Drosophila melanogaster: one gene and its partner. Changing the gene in region 1 together with any one later gene gives a genetic interaction. Each region holds a gene or a part of one and is shown in the gene's direction. Other genes may lie near its edges.

Region 1 (3,954 bases):
ATATACCCATTTACAAAGCCAAAAGTTGCAGTTCAGAAGTTAGCGCCGGGGAGGCATGGGAAAGCGGGTTTCATAATAACAAAAGGGGGTGGGGAGGCATTATAAAATGGAGGATCGGTTGGTGGGAAAACGTATTTAATCGAGGACAGATCGACCTTCTGCAGAGGGCGGCCGATGCGTTGAGAGCTAACCCGTTTTAGGCATTTCAAAATTCAGTTTTGTACTCAAAACAAAAATAAACAGAATAAAGAAATGATCCCCTATCAACACTTTCAGTAAATTTAAAATAGGAAAAAACAGGCAGGTCTCGAATGAAAAACCATAAATCACATGATTCGTATTGATGGAAAACTTACTATAAATATCAAAAGATAATATAAAACGATGCCGATGATCACGAAAAGTGTCCTTTGATCAAAAACAGCCCAAAACATAACCGAAGAACCTTTGTTGTGCCAACAAATGTAAACAACTTGCACACTCCTCCGACTTTTCTTTACTGTTTCCCGTTTTTTCGGGAGTTTTTTGTAAACAATTTGTAGGGGACATGTGTAACAATCGCCAGAGATCATTAGGATTTCAACGCCGATCGGACAGCTGCATATTTTCCCCCACCAATTTTCGCCTCTTCCATTTTCCCTTGGCTAATTGTCGCGGGCCCAAAAGAAAGTCCATTCAAAATGGTTACGGATCGTTCCTGCCAAAAATCCATTGTTCTTAAGTAAATAGAGAGGGGCCAAGTCAACGAAAACTGAGGAAATATATATGTATGTGCACACAAGGAGCACAAATGATCGCTGAAAAATCCATGACATGTGTCCCAAGCAATCCAAGGATCCTGGGATTCGGCCAAGATGGAGTAGCGCACACGGGCCAAAGAACAGCTGGCAGTCGGAAAAGTGTGTGGAAAACGGTGGAAAGCCAGCCAATGCATGGCCACCTAACCAAAACACAATTTTGTGGGAGTGTCGCAAAGGCAAAGAATAAAAAAAAAAAGAAAACCAAAAAAAAAAAAAAAAGGAAAAGGTAAAAAGAAAAACAGAAGGAAACCCGAAACACACTCATTCCCCGTTTTTCACCACACGAAAGAAAATAAAAAACACCCCCAGAACGCAGAAAAAAAATCACTCAAACAAGCGTTTTCCAATGGAAAGTGGTGAACCGGCTGTGGTGTAATTTTTTCCGAGGGTTGAATGACGTCGCCAGCGGGGGAGGGGGATGGGGAGGAGCGGTCGGAAGCCGCTGCCGACGTCGCTGCCGACGTCGCTGCCGGCAGCACTGCCAGCGCCACAACCAAAACAACAAACCACAATTCACTTACACAACGCCGCAGCCGCAGTCGCAGTCGGTCCGCTGCCGCCGCGCTGCCCGCTTTTCCGCTTTTCCACTGCTGCCTTTTGTAAATAAAGAAGAATGCGCAAATTGGCGGCACAAATTGTTAAATACACTTTTCAGTATATTTTCAAATATATTCATAACGAAATAATAAGTTTGTTTTCCCTAAAAAAAAAAAACAAAACATTTATGCACGTTTTATAATACTTTACAAATATTTGTTGAATAAATTGATTATTGTATTTATTATAAACGCTTTTGAGCTATTAAAAGATATTTAATTTTTTACTACAAAATATGTTTCATGCTTAAATTAAATAATTTAAATTGAATTTCAGTTTCACTTTATACAGATGCTTAGTTAAAACAGTTTTTCGTCGTTATAATCGTTTCAAAAACGCATCAATATTGTTATTGTTCACTTGTCATTTGAAATAGTTAAACTAACCAAACACCGAAGGGTACAAAAATGTTCCTCGATTGGCAGTCGCTTTTGTTTTTTATTCTCCTGTGGCAGTGAGCATTTCCCCTGCGCCACTGGAATTTCCACGGTGCCAGAGTTTTCCGCTCTCTGTCGGTAATTTTTGTTGGGGGTTCTGGGGTTCTCCGTGGTCAATGGCTCCTGGCTCCTGGGATCCCTGTGCATTCAGTATAGCCTGGATAACGGTTGTGCGAGGAGCTCCATGAGGAGAGGCGGAGCCACGATCGGCGCAGCCGTCTCGTTCTCTCCCATAACGATCGCCCTACTAATAAATCATCCCCTCTTGGATGTCAGCTATTTCCGTAGCATCTGCTCGCCAACGGTTGGCCGATCTCTGCGGTTACCCCAGCCCCTCGAGCGTAGGTGCCTCTCTTTCGTTCGCCTGGTGCCGTCTCTTTCTGCGAGGGGGAGGGATCTTGCGCACGTATATGAATAATTCAACTGATCGCCGTGGTGATTGGGGGATGAACGGAGTACTGGTTTGTCCGTTCCTCGGAGGTGCGGAATGCACAGATCGTAGTTCTGATACCCATTCATTTCGAGGAAATTTATTCAGGAACGTCACGGTATTTGCATAAGTGAAATCGTATCTCACAGTTAGCAGCCTGTATCGTAGATTGATTACTAAAATACTTTTCTAAATAATCTGCACTAAGATATAGTTCAGATTGCGTAAGATCGGTAAGTACAGAAGCTTTTAATCGCACTGGAAGTTTTATTTACCGCTCACGACATTTGCATAGATGAAACCGTATCTTACAGATTCAAGTAGCTTGCGTACTAAACTACTGTACAAAAAATATCTGCACTAAGAAATAGTCGGGAGTGATTTTTTATGGTGAAGTACAGAAGTAAATTCAGCTAATTAAGCCTCGCTCTTTTTTGTTTTAAATTAACTGCTCAACAGCAGTGAGAAAAACATTGCATATATTGAGTACATGAATACAGGTTACTGTCGCCTTAATCTCCCATCGGTTAATCCCGCTAAAAAGCGAAGTCCTTTGAGTTTTTGGTGGCCAGGTAGGCACTTTCCGTATCAGATGCTCGTTGCTTATTTTTTGGGAACATATTTTATGGCCCGTGGCGGCGGCTAATCGGCCAAAATATTTGCGGGGCGTGCTGCTTAATCCGGGCGATTGACTTTCATAAGCAAAGGATTAAGATTGCGCGGTTGGACTACCTGTTTTGAGGTGCGATATCAGTACATGCGATGGTACATCTGAGGGCCAGGTACGTCAAAGCCAGTAAACCCATAGTTTTCCCACTTTTTTGGGGCCGCAAAAAAGCATCGGAGGGCCCATAAAAAAAGGGTTGATCCTTTTGGCTGCTGTGGGCTCGTAGCGAGTTCGGTATGGAGATCAGGTACTGCCTGGTGCTCGGTGATCCCTATGAGGCGGTCCTGCGGGTCCTGCGATGCGCGTGCTGCGGCAGCTCCTGTCGCAAATTGCCAAGGAATCGCAGCAGGATCCAAGAAGCGACGACAGGAGCGCTGATTTCCCGGGAAACCGGCAATCGTCAATCGGCCATCGGCAATCGCGTCCTTGTCGCACGCCCGCTAAACCTGCGCTGTCCTGCCATATATCCCGGGGCTATATGGTGTGAAATCGGTGTAGGGACACGAGGTCCTTCGCAGCGAGCGGCCGCGCACGTACAAAAGGCAGCGCTGCCGATACACTGGATTTACTGGAAGTGTGCGTCTATAATGTCCAGCTGAGAGCGGCGCGTTCTCGCGACATTTTGGTTGGTCTTGCCTCGTAGTTCCCCTACCAGAATGGCCATGCTCCCCATTCCTTCTCCTCCTCCTCCACGCGGTGCCTGGAAGAGTCCGCCACCTCGGAAAACTCGCGGGTCCTGTGTGGCCTCGTTTTTAAGGTTGTTTTGGTGGGCCGCAATTTTTTGGCCAGTCAGGCACTTGATTTGCGTTCCACTGCACGAAATGAGTGTTGAAGGAATTGAGAATATTACTTTAAATTGTCAAGTCAAGTGTCAAGTGTTATTCAGCAGCTCTTAAGAATTAATACACAGTTAATCCATTTTACATTAAGTTAATTAAATCGTTCATATTTCGTTTTTGAAGCTAAGTTTCGTAATCTGAATTACTATCTATGTATGTGCTAATCACTTAGCCAATCGCTAAG
Region 2 (3,600 bases), on another chromosome or scaffold:
GTAGATATGTTTAAAACCAAACCTAACTAACCGATTGTACTTAAAGAAAGCGATTAAGGCTTCCATTATCAGCGTATAAAGAGAGAGATAACGGCCTTCCTAGACATGTCTTATCTGTCGCCCAAGTCTGGTCCCTCAATCCTTTTCCACTATCAGCGGTGCCAAAGTCAAAGAACTCCCATATCTATGCCAGATATATAATCTTAGATGCGGGGAACTGTTGCCGTTTCCCAAGAACACGCATTGATTGACGGTCTTTCCCATGCATGCCTAATGATCCTTCAAATGGGCCCTAATAACGACCAGCCCCCCTTGGGATCGGATCAGGTAACGCCCCGTCCCGGGGGTTACCCAAAAAGCGACACGCTCCCAAGACCCATCAGGCAGTTGACCAGTGGGTTACGTGTGCCATCGTGCACAGCAAAACTAGTGTATAAAGTTTATATTATCTAAGGTAGCGATATTTTCTAAAACGTAAAGAAACAATTACGTTGCAAACAATTCTCTCAGTGCAGGGCAACCCCAGCAACAATTATTCAACTTAAAGTCGGTGCAGCGGGGAAAACATGGAATCATTTCGGTTTCAGTTAGAAGTGTGCGCGAGCGTTCTCGAAAGGGGCGCTGGGGGGCGGGGCAGTCGGTGGGAGGTTGAGCGAATAAGAGAGTCGAGCATACGAGGCACGCTTTTCCGATCAAACCAGTTTGTCGTAATAGCTGGCATTTGGAATTAGTTACTGCCGATATATTGCTGCACTTGGAATGCGCCCAGATAGAAATTCCCGCACCACGCCCCTCGGCGACGATCCTCCCCTTTGAATAGAGAGTTGACTATTTTTAGCGGGCACCAGAACTTCATTAAAATACAATCAATTTGCAAGTGCAGCGCGGAGAAAATAACAAACAAGCACCAGCCACCCACTCTCTCTTTCTCCTCTCTCTCCCCCCCCCCCTCTCTCACACTCTTCCATACTCCGGTGTTCCCAAAGAGAGCGGAGAGATGGCATTTATGCTGAGCAGGCACAAGCAGAGAGGTGAAGATGGGACTGAAGAAGAAGCAGCCGCTGTGTCGGCAGAATGAAAACGAGGACGACCAAACTGCATTGTTGTCATATTTCGTAATACGCTGATGCAGCAGAGAAGCGAAGGGGTGGTGGGCGCAGAGGTGGAGCAGCAGGTCACGGCGGTGAGAGAGAGCGAGAGCGCAGGAGACTTGTTTTCAACACCAGCTTATCAGCGGGAGAGCGCGAGAAGAAAGAGCATAAGGGCAGAGCGCCAACGCAGCGGCGAAATGGAAATGTCAAGTTGGGACTGCGCTCTCCCTCGCTCTCGCTGCCAGCAGCGGCTGCGCTGTTCTCTTAACCATTTGGAGCCCCATTCAAATGTTCGATTCTTGCCATTCCATTTCGTCCGCTCATCCGTCCACATCCACTTGCGTTTTTGGTGCCCTGCGAGCGGGAGAGCAATGTGAAACGGGAGCACTACAAATACCGCCCACTACCACTACCAATTCCCATACTCCCATATTCCATGCTATTCCCAGCTCAGTTCGTGCCGTGTGATCAAAGCTTTCGGTAAGGCTTCGGCTCGGCTTTGTGTATCCACCTTAGCGGCTCTCTGTGGTGCTCGTTCTGCCTCTCTCTCTCTCTCGGTTTTGGGGCTCAGCTCAGGGACAACAAATGCGGTAAAATGGCTTCTGCGTCGACGTCGACATCCCTGCCGTTTCAGTTCTGATTGGAGGTTCGTGCGCGGCGTTTCCTCAGCTGATTTCTTTGCCTTTTGCCTTTTCGCAACCCGCTTTCGGCTCCGTGTTCGCCTCGGTTGCCAATTACGTGTAACCAACAACAAGAGAAGAAACAGAAACAACAACAAGTACTTTCGAGTGTTGCAAGCCTTCTTCCGCCGAAGAAACCGCAAAACGGATTACCAAGAATATTTGTAAAATTGGTAAGTGGTGAGATTATCCACGAAATAGTCTTCGAAAAAGGTCAAATCATCAAGTGTTCAAATTTAAACGACAAGTTTAAGTATTCTTATTACCTTCTTAAGACTTATCTTGAATCTCAGATGAGGATTTTATTGATTAAGATTCAAAAGTTCTTTAACTGGCTTTTGTTTCTGGAGTCCGTAGTGATTTTTTTAAAGATTTGAATGTTCACTGAATTATATTTTTGGATTAGAATCTAATCACTTTAAACAGGACATCGCAGGAGTCGAAAACAATTGATGACAAAATCAGCAGTTAATAGCTTTTGGATTACAGAATTATAGCAATAAAAGCCTGACAAATTGGCCAAGGGTCGTTTTGGAAATCTAGCAGTCTTAAAAGCCTAGCAGATACATTTTCTTCTAACAATTTCCCGCTCACACGCTCAGTACATGCACCAACACACGCCTATTGGAAAGACGCTTTTGTATCCAACTTATACAGATAGTGGTACAGCCACAGATACAAATGCACACATGCCGTATACGGCACATGGGGAGTAATGCCGCCACACTAGATACCAGATACTAGATACATAGATTCGTCCGCCGCTTATTTGTCGGTCGTGCTTCAGTGATCTCTGTCATTTGCAGTTGCCCATTTCCTTTTTTATCCCCCACTTCCACATCCAGTCGTCATTCGCCCGGCGCACCCCTTTTGATCACTCTTCCAGTTCCAGTGCCTTCTGGTGGCTTCCAGTGGCTGCAACACTTGCGGTGTTTTTCTGAATGAACCAATGGAGTGAATGTGTGAATGAGTAATCCATGTACGCAACATGTTTGCACTGCACAAATTATTTGGACTCAATGTATTGATTGTGTAACTCGGCTTTACGTTTATTTAATCGCAATAACTAAAGTGAGCTACAACTCTATACGTTGGTTACTATTCTTGGGAGGAAGGAAACCTGACAACCCTGGCCAAGGGGCAACTCTACACTTGCACCTGTGCTCCACGCTAAGCCACAAATTCAATTATGCAAATCAAGATCACAGCCCAAAAAACACAATCTTCGTCTCCGATCTGCATTTGTCTTTGTATGTTATGTTTATTTGTTACTTCTGTCGTTGTTTTTAATTCGCTAACCCACTTCACACAGTGGCAGCAACAACAAAAATCGTGAATTATACTTTGTATTGGGGCGAAAAGGAAACGAATGCCCAGTCTCAGATCACACATAAATTTTGCGGTTGTTTTGTTAATGAAACGACAAGAGCAGCACTATGCGCTCTTTACTATATATTTCCCGCTCTCCGCGAAAGCTTTTCTGTTTGTTTGCCCCACACACACAAAGACACTTGTGAACACCTTGCGCTCACTTAACATTATGCTCGAATTATAACTGTTGTTTAGCCGGCGATCGAAACGGTTAAAGCAGCAATGAAAGAGGGAAAAGAGAAAGAGGATGACATGACTAACAACGCAAACGCGATCTGAACATATGCATTGTTGTTTTCGCTCGTAGAAACCCATAAAAAGTCGAAACAGTAAAAGTCCAAGCGGCGTATACGCAATATCAGCGGGGGATAGGAAAAGGCAGAACTCTCTTATCTATTCTTCTCTCACTCTCCCTTAAGTACACAGGGCAAGAAATGTTAAAACATTTTTAACAAATA

The links.
Region 2: of run (region 1) and ttk, changing one suppresses a phenotype caused by changing the other (phenotypic suppression), as found in Drosophila melanogaster (2 studies listed by BioGRID).

The regions. Positions count from the first base shown.
Region 1 is NC_004354.4:20,688,516-20,692,469, forward strand, and holds the start of run (runt), read left to right. Parts: upstream 1-2,154; 5' UTR 2,155-2,497; intron 2,498-3,954. UniProt on the Drosophila melanogaster protein: Plays a pivotal role in regulating the expression of other pair-rule genes such as eve, ftz, and h.
Region 2 is NT_033777.3:31,712,326-31,715,925, forward strand, and holds the start of ttk (tramtrack), read left to right. Parts: upstream 1-1,541; 5' UTR 1,542-1,944; intron 1,945-3,600. UniProt on the Drosophila melanogaster protein: Binds to a number of sites in the transcriptional regulatory region of ftz. Isoform beta is required to repress inappropriate segmentation gene transcription and repress genes incompatible with development of photoreceptor cell fates.